Schizosaccharomyces pombe: one gene and its partners. Changing the gene in region 1 together with any one later gene gives a genetic interaction. Each region holds a gene or a part of one and is shown on either strand. Other genes may lie near its edges.

Region 1 (5,630 bases):
TATTTATAAGTAGTACAAATATAGTAAACGCGCAAGTTTTTCTTTAGGTAATTGTTTGTGCGACCTTAAGCAAATTAACCTAGTTGATGCGTTACACTGTTCTTCGTGTCATCTTTCTGGGTATGGGGAAAGTGTGTCTAGTGAATGGGGTTAAAGAAGGTTATCTAAGCGACTAGTTGATAGCAAACAGTTGCATAGCCAGGAAGATTGTGAATTGTACGGTACATCGTAGTTGTGAGGTAATACGCAACTTTCTAATTGAGAGATATCAAATTGAATCAGCTCGATCGCATACTTAGATACTTATTAAGTGTTGTAATTTCGTCAAATAAAACTTTTAACAATGTAAAAAAGTACGTACTTTCTTCCGCTCCTTGCTTAATACCACAATAAATGAATTTACCTAATCTGTATCTAACAACCACATAGTCAACGGGACTAACAAATTCCAGTAAAGTGTTAAGGATAAAAAGCTTTCAGCAATGAGAGCGTACGACTCTTTCTCTAATCTGACATGTTTTCTTTTGTGTTTATAAAGCATTCGTTTTGTATTGACAAATTTTTCAATTACCTTGGGTAGGTGAATTATTTTTGGGCATATGACATCAGAACGCGTTGAACAATTAAGTTCACTTTGACAAAAATACAGATTTTTTATCACTACACGTCGTTTACTTTATATTTTACTTCATCTTATTACAAGGTTACTCTGTAATTGTAACGTTTGACGAAGCCCATAATCCAATCCTCTTTTTCGTTGCAGAGGAAAATAAGGAAGAGTAAGTACGTAAAGCCTACGAAAAGAAAGAGAAATATAAAAAAGTATACGTTTGTCAGTGCAATATTGAATGGTAAGTTTATTAATTGTTCCACTCATCGACTAAATAATAAAGTAGAAAGACGAGACATTTATGTGTATGCTAGAACACACTGGAATCCATTTGTTCACGAGTTGTTCTCGTAATAACATAATGATTGGTATTGCCGTGTGTGAATGCCAGTGATTATTGATGTTTGAAAGACTACAACTGATAAAAAGATAGTTGCACTAGTGATAAAAGTCTGTTGAAATTGGTATGCTCTAAAAGTCATTTGTACTTGAGTAAGCAGTCATATGCGTGTTGGCTATCCATCTGTTTGACTTGTTTGAAAATAATACACATGGGTTATGCTTTTCACAAGAAAGTAGAATAATTGATTCCTACATCTGCATCATCCATATCGATCGGTAAAGTATACTTTATCCTACGAATTGGTTTCATAGTTAAATCACTCCTCTGCTTAGCAGCTCCGCATCCCCTTCGTGTACTAGCCAATCTCATCGACATCGACAAATTGACTTCACCTGAGTTAAGCATACTTAATTCAACTTAACGAAGTGCAACCCACCACGACTGACCTCTGTAATCTCGGAAAACGGATAAGACGGTTCAGTACGTTCGCTAGTAAGAAGCATGCATGCAAAGGTACAAGAGCAGGCTTCCCATGCAAACTGAGAAAATAATCCCTGAAGAATTGCTAGTAAGCCAAATTGCAGCGCCTCCAAACATCCTTCTATTAAGGACCAGAAAGAATGATGCTGATGACTAATTTTTGGGTTATGCAAGAAGCATCTGGCATTTTCTTTAACTTCTCCACGAATAAGGAGAAGGTCACACGACGGAAGCGTGGAATAATGATGAGTTTGATCGTCGGTAAACTCCCCCAGAGTAGCGAAGATCATCGGCATCGAAAGAAAGAAGGGAAGGAAAAAAAAAAGTAAAAACGACTTGATGAATTCCGTGATCATGTAGGGTAACGGAAGACGAGATTACCGAGTTTAAGTAAGCAATCGAGGTCTGCATTGCGATGCCGATATGGTGATCGGGAACATGAAGCACTTGATTGACTTGAACATGTAGGGAGGAAATTTTTTTAGCGTTTTTAGACTTTTCATTTAGCTGCTATCTTAGGAGTAGCGTGACACGGCGCAAACGAAAAACAAGACATTTGTTGTACCAAACATCCTCAATTCCATCGCATCTCTAAAGTACGAGTAACTAGAGTAAGATGCAAATCAACGTCGTGATATGACCTAAAAGTATCGTGGACTTGATTCATCCTTCAATCTCATCTTTCCCCGACTCCGCCTCTTCATTTTGACCTCATTCTATGATTGCTTTTGGAATGAAGCTTGCAGCGTATTCCTTCATTAGTGCGTTATGACTAACCGCGATATATAAGGTGATTTAAGTACTGGAAGCTCGCTTTCCATATGAGAGGACAGCGTAGAGCGCAAGTCGCAGATTGAAGGAATGTAATTGGGGTTCGCTTACACATTACGCGCTTTTATTTGAAAAGAACGAATCAGCAGCACTGCCAGCGCATTCTGACATTTCCATGCTACTTCATTGGCGGCCTCTGATTGGCTCAATCAATGTAAAACGACGTCAATTGCTAACCAATGTTGTTTGACAAGGGTGGTTTTTTCAATCAGACGCTTGACGTCATTCTTTATATATACATTGCCTCGCGCATCTTTGCTGGGTAGTATGGACACTACAAACAACACATATGCAAGATCAATTTCTAGTAATGGGAACGATAACTTTCCCACTCCAGATTGGCAATTTAATGGATCCCAATTGCAACAAAATCGTAAATCCAAAATGAATGGTCGCTCTGTGACTAATGTATTTCCGAATGCATTCTCGGATGCTGAATTCGAGCAAATCTCGATGCCCGAACTCAATTTAAAGCGTTTTAACCCTACTACGTTAGAAGAAAATAACTCAGATTTATCTGATATGTCCTCCTGGGACTATATGATGAACGTTCCCATTCGTGTCTACAACGATGCTGACACAATGGACCCCTTCTCCCTCGACACTATTCCCGATTCCTCGATGGACATGCCATTTGATCCCTTAGCATCTGACTATGGTAACGCTGCTAACTTTCCAAGTGTCCCTTCGTCCCTTGGCAGCAATCATCAATTTATCACCACACCTCCTGTCAACGGGTCGAACGAACCTACCTCGGCTCAAACGAATCACATTATTACTGCTAACAGTTCCCCCAGTGGAAATGCTGGGAGTAACGCATCTGCAAGCATGTCCGTCCCTCCTCCTCTTACTCCATCTGCTTCCACCATTAATGACCAGCCCTTCTCCAACTCTTTCGATTTACCTAGTCAGGTGATTGCTGATGGCACTGGCGCGATTTCCGACATCAACGGTAATCCATTTCCCATGAATTCTCCACCTTTGGATATGGAACCGTTGCCCTCGATATCCATGGATGCAAGTGACTCTGTCTCCGAACAACTTGTAAAGGACGCCTCTCTTCCTAGTGGTCCTTTTTCAACCGATTATTTGGAGAATGGAAGTGACTTAAAAAGGTCACTGGGTCACAATCAAAAGTCAGACAGAGTCTCAAAAGATGTCTCACCTCAACACCAAGCAAATCCCTCTACCCTTAACAATCCTCTCAAGACCCAAAATTTTGATTCCTCTAAGAACCTTTATACCGACAACAAGGATTCCTCCCTTGTATCTCCAACGGGACTTCAATCCCGTATGGAACAAAATCCGGAAGTGCGGGCGCATCCTATGAAGGACTCGGCGACGAGCACTGCGTTACGCCGTTCTCATGCTCTGGGAGCTGCTGCTGACTCTCTTCTTCCTCAAGAAAACTCCGCTCAGATATATGATGGGAAGGATGTATCTATGGTCAATGATAACATGCACTCCGATGTTCGGCAGGACAGCTTCAATAAAGAATCTATTAAACAACGCATCCCTTCTTTGTCTCCTCCGATAACGCGATCATACAATGCCAAGCATCGCCCCTCCTTGGTGCTTGGTACGTCGGTAAATCCACATTCACTTTCTCCTTCACAGCCTCCTGTTGTCGTACCTTCAAATACTACGATCAGCTCCTCTCCTCCACTCACTTCTCCTGTTAAAACCTCTGCTAATATACCTAACTTATTACCGACTTCAGAGTTAGACAGTTCCAACGCTCCTCACTCTCAATCGGCTGCTACTCATGACCTAAATGACGTTAAGTCGTATTACAATACTAGGTCTTCTCATTCCGTGGTACCTAATCCAACCAACCAAAAAGTAAGCATCACCGGTGCTGCTGCTGATGGCCCCAACGGATCTGCTCCTGTTGACACCACTCCTACAAATTCTTCTACTACTGCTACGGGTGCTCAGAGGAAGCGTAGGAAGTTTAAATTTGGTAAACAAATTGGTCCAGTTCGGTGTACTCTTCAGAACAGAGTTACAGGAGAAATTTGTAACACAGTGTTTTCTAGGACGTATGATTTGATCCGTCACCAGGATACGATACATGCTAAGACACGACCTGTATTTCGATGTGAGATTTGTGGCGATCAACGCCATTTCAGTAGACATGATGCCTTGGTTAGGCATCTCCGTGTGAAACACGGTAGATAAATTGAAAGGAGTCTCTTCTGCCACAAATATTAAAAAAAGGTTATTGCATTATCTATTGTCATTTTTCACCTCTTACGCTTCTTCATTGATTCCTTGTTTATGAATTTTAAAAAAAGTTGCATTTTGCTAATTATTTTCAAGAAAAAAATTGGTACCGTTATTATTTCACAGCCCTTTTGAAAGTGCTTTTTCCTTTGTCTCCTTTCATGTACATTTATCATCTTAATTTTGCCTCTTCATTTCATCGTATCCTCAAGCTTCATGTGTAATTTCAAACCCCTTCTCCGTCTAACGGTTTCCTTTTTTATTTTGGACGGTCATAAGTGTTTTTATATTTTGTTTTCATTTTTATTGGGATTGGTTAATATTGTTTTTTTTTTCTTACCAAGTTACTGTTAAATGTTAATAAAAAATTTTGTGTGTTTTCACCTTAAATTGAATACCTATCATGTAATTTGATTTAGTTTTACATACTTAAATTTTAATATTAGTAAGTAGTATTTGTAATTTAGAAATATTTTTTCTGCCGGTATTAATTATTATTGTTTTTCAGTTATGTTAGGTATAGACGCGGCCTCTAGCAATCAAAGACGGTGGATCAAGGTCTGTAGTAAATCGATCAATCCATAGGTTACCTGTCTCTGAGATACATATGCGTAGTGGTTGATTGACAAACGCGGGAGATAATAATCGAAACTCAAATCTTTTCATGTTCTTTGACATTTGGGGATAAACAGAACGAAAGTACTCTAACATACTAGTCACTAGAAGAGGACCTGGAAGAACGAGATTTGGATAATTTTCGGACTTTGTAGCGTATGTCGCATTCCAATGGATCATATGAGCATTAAACATTAATGCTGAATAGCGAAACACCATAATAGGTGTAGGTGTGAATACCCAAGAGTGTTGTGGAATACTTTTGCTACGTAAAGTTTTTGGTATAGCCAGTTCTTGTCGATTTAAATAGGCTAATGTTCTATCTTCCTCGATACATAATTGATGCTGACTGTCGTAAATTTTTCTTCGAATATATACATGCTTTGTCTGTTTTTCTGAAGTAGGCTTTGTTAGAAAAGAACTTTTTGGAAGACAAGCTTCAACTTCTTTTGTAATTGATGGAGATTTCACAGATTCTTCCTGAATCAATTCATGACATTCCGAAGTTTGGAAAAGATGTAAAGG
Region 2 (6,744 bases), on another chromosome or scaffold:
GCATTTTAAATTACTCTTAAGTTGTTGTTTTATGGCTCTGCATTTTTTGCTGAATTTCAAGTTAATATTTTTTTTCTGATCAATGTGACATACCATAGTAACGGCCTTCCTCTAGTTCGAACTTCTATCAGTGCCCTTTCTTGATGCTGGCAGGATGAGCCTCGATGACCTCGAAGGCATACAACACTAGAGTAAGTGTTAAAAATTTTATCTTATAACCATACAAAAAGTCTTACCAAGCATAATTCTTACCGTCAATAATGATCATGATTGAAGGTATTTGTGATTAAGGGAAAAGAAGACAAGTAGGATTCGAGTAAATAAGCTAGTCGAGGAACGTTTTAAATAAATTCCTCTTATACGTTCTCTTCCTTTAGGTTGATAAATTGTAAATGACAGCTTTTTCCCAAATTCCTTTTTCCTCGTCTCTGCTTTAGCTTTCTGATCCAGAAGAATTGCACAACGGATATTAATAGAAGACAAGACGAACAGCTAAGTGTTTTAAAATAATATACTTTACTTTTAAATATTTCCAATGTTTGTTGTTTGTCAAAAGTTTGAGTGCTGGCATAAATTATTTATAAGCTCTAGCTATGGACATTTGTTTACATATTATGGGATAAACAAATACATCAACTTATTGACACTAACCAACAATAACATACAAAATAGGAAGGTATTAAATCACTATGTTCAATGTTTTTGAGCACAATTTCGTAGAAAAGATAATTTTGATTTAATGAGTGTGCAAACTGATCAAATTGTGATTTTTCCTCGAGGCGATTTCATTCTATGTTTTTATGATTGCGTCAATTCTCTAAGCAGTTTTGCGATTTTCTGCACTCTAAACTTGTTAAATAACTTTTGTTTGCAAAAGGTACCAGATGCTATAAAGACTGGATTTTGTTAATATACTACTTTATATTATAACATATATGATTTTCAGATTACAAAACAGCTTAAAAGTTTGCAACCTAAAGACATAATAACTTTTTTATTGATTGCTCATTTATTTTAATTGATTATTATTTTTCAGGGTTATATCGAGTTACTTTGTTTTAATGTCAGGTTTAAAAAAATAATTAAATGAAAGTAAATGTAAAATGAGGTAGGCTTGTCAGACCCTTCAAATTTTTTTAAAAAAAATTGAAATATTTCTTTCAGAAAGGTATGATTAAACTCACAATTTTTTTCGATTTCAAAAAATCTTTTAATCAATTTGAATATTTGCTACCTACAAATATTGTCACATAATAGAAATGTAGACGAAGTGATTTCATCAAATTAAGGAACGTTCAGTATTTTAAAAAAAGATATGTAAATTCTACAATTTGTGACGATTTGGAGATGCTACTATTTGAAATGTAAATGTATTTACATAAATGTATATTTGCTGCTAGATGCTGATATACTGGGTATAATGAACATAATTACAGCACAGTACTTAGATGCATTTAGCGCACTATGAATAAATCAGTAAATATTGAATACCTGTCAATTTTCTGGAGATAAAACTAACTAGCTAAACTAAAATCATATAATGGAGCTTCTAAAATCAAGTACGTTGCTGAAATCGAACACATCAATACGTGCGGTTCTTTACTCAAATTCACTTGACATTCTATTTCATGTTTTTCAGAATGCGAAAGATGATAATGTCTTTCTGATCAGATTGCTACAAGATGAGACTACTAAAAGTATTGAAATTTAGAAAACCTTATAAAAACAATAACTACCTTGCACACACATTTTCTTAATTTGATGAGAATAAAACTGCTAACCCCAACGGTCGTTATTTATCGTCTGGGTATCCGTAAATCTCTGTATACCTGTTCAAAGATATACAACGTCACATCTGTCAACTACATTCCATTATGTTGTTAAATCCCTTCAAATGTAAGCTACGCAGTTTGGTATCTGATTTAAGGATACGTAGAACTGCGGTGAGTTTTCCTTGTGATCTATTATATTACAATACACAGGTTGTATAAGTAGCAACTGAGTATAGGTATTGTATTAACTGAGTTATAATGTTACCTATCACTAATATAGCTTATAACTGAACTGAGGAACGAGGTTCAGCAGTAGCTCTATTTATATTATTCAGATAATATAGATCTTGATAGATTATCATTAAGATCAATCTCAATATCGTATCATACATGGTACTATATATAATTAGAACATGTGACATATAGTGATACGCAACGTAGTGTATTATAGCGTAGTGTAGTATTGCTGACATCAAACAATTCTTTAATTACAGTAAGAAAAAGCACCTCCATTATCCTTAATAAGAATAACGAGCTATTGAAAGAATACGTTGTTTATACCTTTAAATTAAGCGATTATGTCGCTTTAAAGTAGCAACAATTGGTGTGATACACAAGCGCAATCACGCAAGCAGTAGCTCTCCGAACTGGTTTATTTATTTGTTAAATTCTCAATTTTACTCTTTACCAAGTATACCTAAATATCCCAGTACTTTGCTTAGGTGTAAATTCCACGTTTGGTAGGAATTTTAGGCATTTGCAACTGAACATTTATATCTACAGTTTAACTAGAAAAAAATACACCAAAATTTTAAAACGTTTAACGGTTAATTTTTTTGGCGAAATTTTGAATCTAAAGCTGTATCTTAATTAAGAAACAGATTTCTAACTTTTTAGCGAATAAAAGCATACTTGTTTCTTTTTTTTTTTTTTTTTTGGAAAGCTCGTCAAAACGAAAAATTTTGGTTTGACACTTTTCTCCATACATTTGGATTTTTTGGTTTCTTTTTTGGGGTTCAACATTCCTTTTCATTAAATATTATTTAATTTTTTGAAACGTTTTGTTAATCAAAATTTTAAATTTCTTTAATTATTTTCTTCCGTTTAATCATTGATTTGTTGGTTCAAAATGGTTGCTACTGATTCTTCCGATCAAGTTGCGAAATTCGATGTTTCGCACAAAATCATTGAAGATATTGTTTATTCTCTTTCCAACCGTATCTTTTCTTACGCGGAACACGTTCCTTTGAACCGTTATTTGACTCAGTGGAACAACTCTGGTCGCAGAAACGGATTTTCCAACAATGTTGAACTTTTCAATTTGGAGGCTCGCTCTGGCGCTTCCGCTTTCTTGTTGGGCTCTTACACTGCAGCAATCTCTTCTCCTGGTGTCTACTCCATGATGACACCTTCCAGCTGTTTATCGCTTTTGAACCCCTTGCTTTCTAATATTATTCCTTTCTATGGAGCTAGTAAGCCTCTTGTTGTTCATGTCGCAGCTTTGGCCTACCTCGAACAAACCTATTGCGCTGATAACGTGAGTGTTTTAGACTTTTCTTACGCCAACAACTTCACCGTTTTCGCTTCGCAATCTAATGTCGAGGCTGCTCACCTCGCTTTGGCCAGTACATTGGCTGCCAAGGCTGCTCCTGTCATTCATGTGTATGAGCCGGATGCCATTGTCACCACAACTGATCCCAGCCTTCCTCTTCTCGATTCCAACGCCGTGGTTGAGTGCTTCAACTCTTACCAATCCGAAGCTGATCCTGTCTCCAACGCTTCCAAGGCTTTGAAGCATGTCAACGATTACTTTAACACTTCGTATGCTCCAGCCGAGTATTACGGATCTCAAACCGCTTCTAAGGTTATTGTAACTTTTGGGAAGTCTGAAACCGTCGCTGCTCGCGCCCTTTTGGCTGCCAATCCTGATGTGGGCGTTCTTTCTATCCGTATCTTCCCTTTTGTTGCTGAAAACATTTTCAATGTTCTTCCCACTACTTGCAAATCTCTTGTTGTTCTTTCCCAGGTTCGCTCTACCGCTGTCGGAACTTCTTCCATCTACTATTCCTTCCTACTTGCTACACTGTTGAGCACTAAACCTTCAGCGCTTGCTATTTCCGAGCATCGCTACTCCTTAGTAGAGTCCGTCACCTTGAGCTCTCTCTTTGATGCTCTTCACGAGACCCTGCAATTGAAAGCTGCTACTCCCAAAGCTGTTCATGTTGATAAGAGCATCAACGTTTGGGAATCTGATGTCGGTGATTCCTTGGTGCTTTCGTTAGTTTCTGCCTATAGAACCGATAAATCGAGATCTGTTGCCTTCCGTCCTTTGTTTGACAACTTGACCTTGGCTGGCGTCCGTTTTACCGTTGCCCAAGTTTCTACGGCCAACGCTGTTTTAACAGATGTTGTTAAAGATGTTGATGCTGATATTACTATTTTAACTACTGATCGACTTCCTTTACATTATCGTGTTCTCGCCAAGGCTGCTGAACATTCTATTTGTTTATTACAGTCCTCCATCGCACCAGATGAAGCAACTAAGAAACTTCCATACGAATTTATCGCTGATGCTTTGGAGAAAGGAGTGAAATTAGTGCTTATTGATCCCAAAAAGTTTGCCATCGATGCCTCGAACTTGCCTTTGTTGGTTTCATTTATTCAACTCGTCAAGCCTGGTTTAGGTGTTGACGAGGCTTTGGCTGTTTTGGCTAAGCAAAATAATTTAACTGACACGAATTTGAAAGATGCTGTTGACTCACTTAAGCAATCTCTCTCGTTCATTAATTTAGACGCCTCGGCTTTGAAGGATCGCGAGCCCTCGGAGAAGGAGTTGCCAAGTACCGCGAAGGAAACTTCGTTTGCTCCCAACGCTGTGAAGACTTTAGATGAGGATATCACCCCTCAATCTTCCAACTGGCAGACAGTGGCCAAGCAGATCATCTTCCCCGAGGCTTACAAAAAGAAGGACGCCCTTCGTCCTGACGTTTCGGAGAAGGTCTTTACTGTTCACGTGAGAGCTAACAAACGTCTTACGCCCGCCGAGTATAACCGTAATATTTTCCACATCGAATTCGACCTTGGCGACAGTGGGCTCACCTATGACATTGGTGAAGCTTTGGGTGTTTACGGTGTTAACAATAAAACTCACGTTCATGATTTCATTGAGGAATACGGATTAGATGCTAACGAGCTTATCCACGTCCCGTCCATTCAACATCCTGGTCATTGGGAAACACGCACAGTTTTCCAAGCACTTTGTCAGAACATTGACATTTTTGGTAAACCCACTAAAAAATTCCATGAGCAACTGCTTGAATTCGAGACTGATGAGAAGGAGCGTGCCGATCTGCAGATTTTAATTAGCCCTGCTGGAGCTCCTGATTTCAAGCGTCGTGCTGAAGTAGATATGCTTACCTATGCTGATGTATTGAAAGAGTTTAAGCATGCTAAGCTGACTGCTGCACAAATCGCACAAATCGTACCAGTCATTAAGCGTCGTGAGTATTCCATTTCTTCTTCTCAAAAGAAGCACAATGACAGTGTTCATTTGCTGGTTGTCGTGGTTGGTTGGAAGGATGGTATGGGACGTGATCGCTATGGCCAATGCTCGCACTATCTTTCCAATTTGAAGGTGGGCGAACCTCTTTGCGTTGCTGTCAAGACTTCTGTCATGAAGTTGCCCACGTCCCCCTTGAAGCCAATTGTCATGGCAGGTTTGGGAACTGGTTTAGCACCATTCCGTGCCTTTTTGCAATTCAAAGAATGGCAACGTATGCAGGGAATCGAATCTGGTGACATCTTGTTATATTTGGGTTCCCGTACTCAAAGAGAAGAGTATCTGTATGGTGAGGATTGGGAGGCTTATCATTCCGCCAATCTATTGACGCATATTGGACAAGCTTTCAGTCGTGATCAACCCTACAAAATCTATATCCAAGATGTTATGCGATCTACCAAAGACATGTTAAAGAAGGCTCTTATGGATGAGGGGGGTTCCTTTTACTTGTGTGGTCCTACATGGCCCTTGCCCGAGATCACCAGTGTTTTAGAGGAAGTGATCCAGAGCAGTTATGATGAGCCAGTCGATGCTCGCAAGATCATTGAACAATGGAAGGAAGAGCGTCGTTTTGTCATCGAAGTTTACTAGAGCTTATAGAAGGAGATGTCAAATCAAACTCATTTAAAACCTTTTCAGGTTTATTTACACATTAGGTTGTGCAAAATGCCGTAAGTATCGTTTGTATGAATGTATTGAATGTATAATGTATTAAATGTATTGTACTATATTCAGCCCAGCATTAATAGCCTTGATGATTGCAATCACCCACTTCACTGTACCAAGCCTGACTTGAGTTTCTTGAGATGCAAATTATTAATTCAAGGCAAAACGTGGACGATTACATATGCAGTTTAGAACATTCTCATTTCTTCTTTATAACTACTATCGAGATCCTACCATCTTAGCTATAGTGCAGTGGAATACTACCACCATGTTTTGTCAGCATAACGAGATCTTCTAACCATGGCATTAGGTGATCAGATGAAGCGTGCGATATAACACTCTATTCACATCAACTTTCAACAATATCGAATGCTAGAGGCGCACATGGAATAGATCAGAGCATTCGGACTTCGGGGTTATCTTCAAGATTTTATCGGTTTGTTCAACTCCGACGTCTACGCCTCGGACGCTTTGAAATAATTTACTCCGAGGTAGTATAATTTTTTAAAATGATTGAATACGTAGACGTTGTATATATACCTGAAGAATGAACGCCTCTACTTATTCCCAAACGCAACTTCCTGAGATAGTTGAATGACAAGTAGCTGAAGTCGATTCAACTACTTGAGAGATTTAAGCGTAACGTTTATCTTAGTGTGTTGTATATATTAAGACAAAAAGTATAAGGGCTCTTGCTTGGCTGACGAGAAAACACCCTTCTTTTATTTGTATAATTTAACGATTTAT
Region 3 (5,611 bases), 870 kb from region 1:
CTTCATAGTACAATCATCACTTACAGAAGTCAGAAGTTCGGAACCAACTTTTAAAACGTCTAAAGCATTCACCACGCCAGCGTGGCCTTTATGCTTCCGGATTTTTTGACCAGAGACAGCGTCCCAAGACATGAGGTGTGTATCGGAGGAAGAACAGTAAACTACGCGTGAATCCCTGCTCCACTGTAAATCAGTTATGGCTCCCTTGCAGCCATTTAATACTCCGTAGTTTTTAACGTCACCAAACACATTCCAAAGAACTAAACCACAGTTATTATAAATCAACATTTTAATTACAGCTGCACTTACGTATCTGTCTATCCATACCGCCAGAAGCAAAGTATGATCCAGAAGGATCGAACCTGGCGACTAAAACTTCAGCCTAAAGCGTTAGTATGATTTATTTCAATACAACCATACCGTATGCCCAAACATCTGTAGGTTTGGAACATTGAGATCAGATGTTCGTTGCAATACAGAACCCTCCGTTATTAAGCTAGAATCTTGGATTCTAATTCTTTTAACCTATTTATATTAGTGCATGTTTTTTTAGCAATCGAACATACTAAATGTCCATTAGTCGCACTCTCCGATTCCTTTCGTTTATCCATTTCCAGTTTACTATATATAATAACTGCAATTTCTGATTGACAGTTTTCAGAATTAGAACGTAAAATGAATAGCAGGGACGGGAGTGGAAAATATATAAAACGGATCGACAATCGTCGCAGGGGTTTCTGTCACAACCAAAATACCAATAAATCGGACTTTTCTTTGGTGTTCAAATAACGAGGAATGATGAGCTCATTCCTATAAACAGGACTTAAAGTAGAATTTATATGAACAACATTTTGATTACAGGCAAAATCCCTAAAAATTTACCCTTCTCATGGAAGCCATTTAAAATTCGTTTAAACAGTATAAATAAATTGTAAGAAATATCTATTCCGTATACTATATACAGACCTTGTTTGTGCTTGAGGAAAAACACTAGTATCAATTAATGTCTTATAATATTTAACGAGCGGCTTTAATATCTAGTCTATCTCGATTTTACCACCATCAAAAACACTTGAGAAGCATTTTGCCATTAGCTAAAGATGCGTAATCACATTTTTTTTGGGTATAGTTATTAACAAATTTTTCTACTTAAAAATTGTATGTACGGTTTTCTGGGCTGAATTGTCTATTCTAGTCGCCTCAAAAATTGAAATATAAACAACGAGATAATCACTGATTAGGTATAACCGCATACAAAATTTCATAAACTTTCTCCCGTCGAATATATTTGTACTTTAAGAAATTAATTTTTGATTAATATCAAAATCCATAATTCTACAGGGAATCTAGCATGGCAATAATAAAGGATTATCCAGTAGATAGTAGTTCTAAAGCCGGATTATAGCATTTGCAATGAAAGAGAGAAACTAAATTTTCTACTTGATAAAAAATGAATTATAGAAAACTAAAATGTGGAATATGTGAAACTAAACAAATTTACGCAAAGCTTCCAATCTTCATGTAAGTACTTTCTAAAAACTTGTAGTGCCAAAATTAAGCATCTTGCTTGATTTACTGAAAAACACAATTTGCAACTAGTTTTCGAATAGTGAACACATTCCAAAATCTTTACTACTAAAAGCATTTCTAACAACTTTAGAAAATGATAATATGAGTTCCAGTGCTTAGTATTTACATCGCTAACTTATGTAAAAAGCTGTAGATATGTATATTTTCCAAGGCAAGGTAAATAAAACAAGAATAATTGATACTATCTACATAATTACAGCATTCTTACAAAAAACTGCGGCTAATAGTATTCTTAATTCATTATGATGTTTTTACGGATGAAGAAATATCAATTTACATTTACTTTCTAAACCCACCTATCCCTTAATTCCACAGTTTTCAGTTAGTAAGTTTGCATATATAAAATCTGAAATTACCACTGGTTGATTCATTGAAAGTATATCATCTTAGAACCATATTTTAATATAGCCCATTTTAGATAATTCAAATCCGAATATATACATAATAACTATTATTAAAAATGTTTTTAGAGCATGACTTGCCTTGGAAAATAAGAAACCTCTATAGAGTTTTACTCTTCAAGGGTTTTGATTTACTCTGTAACTAAATTCAAACATAACATTTATGATTTTATGATTTTCAGTAATTGATAGAAAACTAAAATGAAAATATGATATACAAAATGTTGCGGTAGTATAGCGTGCGCAGATCTTTAAAATTATATATCGCCAGCGTGCATCGTTGTAGATCCATATTCTCGTTCGCAACACCTAACTTCTGCACATTTCTAGTTTATGGCTGATCCAGGTTTAAGGTCCGGCGTCGGATTGCCAAGCCAGCAAGGACAGAAACATGATTTACAAAAAGATCAAAAACAACCGCACGTAAATAATGCCGATAGGACCACACAATCCTTACTGAATTCGTACATATATGATTATTTAATCAAGAAGGATTATTGTGAGGCAGCCCGAGCTTTTGGCCGTGAAGCACAAGTACAAACGCTCGTCAGAAGTCAAGAAGAAACCAATTCCTTAGCTAAGCGTCACAAAAGAATGTCTCCTGTTGCTGTAAAGCATGAAGGTATAAGTAATAATGAATCTTCGGATGAAAACATGAATGTAAATAACGGTAATTTAGATTCCTTTTCTTCTTCTTCTGCTCCGCCGCCACCTCCTATTTTGCCTATCGATTCAGCTGGTGGTTTTTTAATCGAGTGGTGGAATGTTTTTTGGGATATTTACAATGCTCGTCGGGGTCAAGGATCTGAGCCGGCAAAGGCGTATATGTCTCATATTAGCAATCTTAGGAAGAAATCTCGTTTAAATTTGCAAGAAATTCAAAAAAACTCTCTACACACTGGAAATACTTCTCACCCTTATGCAAACGCCTCATTTCCCCATGATCCTGCCAACGCAATGGGTCAGCAGATTGACTCATCTCAGTTTCATCAAGGGGCAGGTGGATTGAACGATAGAAATCAGCACTTAATGCGGCAAGCTATGCTAAATAATCAAAGCCGTGAAACGTTTCCCCCGACCGCTGCTCAACTTCAACAATTAAAACAATTACACTACAGGCAGCTACAATCTGTGCAACAACAACAAAAGCAGCACCAGCAAAAGAAAACTCCACAAAGTGGTTCTACCCCACAAATGCAAAACACGACTTCTCAACCTACAACTCACGATACACATCCACCTAAGCAGCAAGGTCCAATTTCCGATTTTCGATCCATCCCTTCTTCACCCAAAACAGAAGGTGCTCCATCTAATGCTCAATTTCGCCCTAGTTTACCGGCAACTCCTAATGGTTCCGTTCCCCAGTCGAATCCGTTGTACGATACCACTGGTCTTAACGGAGGACAATACCCTGTTGTTCAAAACTCTGCTCAACCATTGCTTCACGAGATAAATTTTGCTTCAAACAGAAATCCACATCTCAAACAAGGAGGAGCAGTACCTTCTTCTACCCTTCCTCAACAACAGAAATCTTTAGACAAACCTAAACCTGCTCAACAGCCTTCAACTGGGCAATTTTCTGGAAATCAAATGAACCAATACGGATTCTCTAATTCTCCTTACTCTCAAAATATGCTATATAATTTTAACGGAAACGCAAACCCCAGTCGTCTAAACCCAGCTCTCAAGAATTATATGGAGGAGTTAAAGCTACTAGAACAACAGAATAAAAAGAGGCTTCTGTTAGTTAGTCAGGAAAAAGAAAGAAAAGGGTACACATCGGCATCGCCTGATAGACCGCTTTCTCAGACTATTACTGAATCTAGTGTTGCAAAAACCAAAAGCACTACTCCTAAATCTACTGACACTCCTACAGAAGCCACCACATCTCCTGTAAAGGTCTCAACAAAAAATAGTAATACTACTGAAAATCTTAATGGCATCAATGAGTCAAATATGCCTATGTTACAAAATGGTCTTCCTTTACGTACATCAGGTGATCATCCATCAAACTATTCTAATCTGATTGAAAACTCATCTACCTCTGACACAAATAATGCGGACAATGGAATGGACGTTATGGGGAATTGGCAATTACAACAAACTCATTCATCGCGACCCACTCCAAATGCCAGTTCTCCATTGGACGTTCGATCAAAACAAAAGCCTTCTTCTGCTAATTCAAATGCTCCAACTCCAGCACCGACCGTCAACACTACCAACCCCGAATCATCAACAAATGAAGCAACAAGTGTAGGTCCTGCTTTGGAACCATCGCAAGGAGCAAATGTTCACAAATCCGATTCTGAGTTGGATAATCAAAATCAGTCAGGAAAATCAAATCCTGATACTTCCGCGACTCCTTCTGCACCTACGGAGTCTACCACAGTTGCCACTAAATCTTCAGACAATCAATTATTGGATGTTGGAAATTCAACAGACATCGATGCGGCTCTTCTAAATGATTTTGACTTCGACAAATTTTTAAAAGATACTAGTACTGGTGACGATTTATGGTTTGGATTGTTTAATTTGCCGGATAATGAAGACTCGACTGCTGCTTAATTTTGTCGAAACTTAAGTATTTTATCCTTGTTTTTCTTCTTTTTTAATTTGTTTATTTGGAAATTATATACCAGATTTTTTCATCTTTTTTGAATGCGTTGCGTTTTGTCATTATAAAAATTTAATATATAATTAATTGCTAGTTGGATATGGATTAGTGTACTCGGTTATAAATACCGGCCTACATCTTGTACTTTATATCTAATAATCAAAATTATTTCATGTGCTTTGAATCATTCTTATATTTTTTATAACTAAACACATTTAGGTAGTACATTAGATTGGCGATTAATCAGCCCCTGCGAAAAGGCCCCTCGTACAAATTCGCTTCTTTATACTAACTAATTAAACAACAAATCATGAGGTTCGATCGCTTAATTAGTAATAAAGTGTCGACGATTTTTTTATTTTTTGCAATATACATCCAAATACTGCATAACTAAGTGTGCTAATTCTGATAAAAATCATTAACATCGCCTGTAAATTAATTCGTAAATTAGAAAATTAATTCTCTGCGAAAAACCATTAATCAAACCATTAAAATCGAGAAATAATTCAATGATTTCCTTTTCGGTTGAAATTAACAGCTATACCTTTCCGTCGTGCGTTTATCATTCGGAAATTCTAATTTCCCCATGTAATATTTTTTAAGCTTCCCCATAAACCAAAATTCTTATGTTGTTGTCGTACAGAATTGGTATGATCAAAAATTATGATTTTTCCGTAATTTGCAACATCAACGAAAAGATATTCCCATTTATAGTCACCTTGAACATTTACAAGTCTTCCAAATACGTGCCCTTTTCTCTCATTACCGATTAAGTGAAATTGTAGTACTAGATGTTCTACACCATGGTGATCCCACACACGACTAGTCAATATACCATGAGTTCGACGAAGAGGATGCGTGGCTTCACCTAGGGCTTTCATGTGATCTCCAAAAACATATCGACATTCTTCATTAGCCTTTAAAAGTTCAAAAGCTTCATCACCGTAATGTGCCTCGCCCTTCCAGATACTAGTGACAAGTGCATATATAATCAATCCGAAAACGC

The links. Genes that interact genetically often act in the same process or in processes that back each other up.
Region 2: mutations in rsv2 (region 1) and met10 together harm fitness less than expected from each alone (positive genetic interaction), as found in Schizosaccharomyces pombe (one large-scale study listed by BioGRID).
Region 3: mutations in rsv2 (region 1) and adn2 together harm fitness more than expected from each alone (negative genetic interaction), as found in Schizosaccharomyces pombe (one large-scale study listed by BioGRID).

What each region holds. Positions count from the first base shown.
Region 1 is NC_003423.3:3,530,400-3,536,029, forward strand, and holds rsv2 (DNA-binding transcription factor Rsv2), read left to right. Parts: upstream 1-2,528; 5' UTR 2,529-2,531; coding exon 2,532-4,445; 3' UTR 4,446-4,889; downstream 4,890-5,630. Other genes in the region: SPOM_SPBC1105.13C (uncharacterized protein), read right to left, coding at 1,361-1,789; 3-hydroxyacyl-ACP dehydratase Htd2, read right to left, coding at 5,004-5,630.
Region 2 is NC_003421.2:1,525,650-1,532,393, reverse strand, and holds met10 (sulfite reductase NADPH flavoprotein subunit), read left to right. Parts: upstream 1-2,458; 5' UTR 2,459-2,901; coding exon 2,902-5,922; downstream 5,923-6,744. Other genes in the region: Cu metalloregulatory transcription factor Cuf2, read right to left, coding at 1-49, 94-186, 237-268.
Region 3 is NC_003423.3:4,399,561-4,405,171, reverse strand, and holds adn2 (transcription factor), read left to right. Parts: upstream 1-2,302; 5' UTR 2,303-2,324; coding exon 2,325-4,556; 3' UTR 4,557-4,789; downstream 4,790-5,611. Other genes in the region: U5 snRNP complex subunit Spf38, read right to left, coding at 1-260, 310-382, 421-525, 567-611; TIM23 translocase complex subunit Tim21, read right to left, coding at 5,181-5,611. UniProt on the Schizosaccharomyces pombe protein: Probable transcriptional regulator involved in cell adhesion.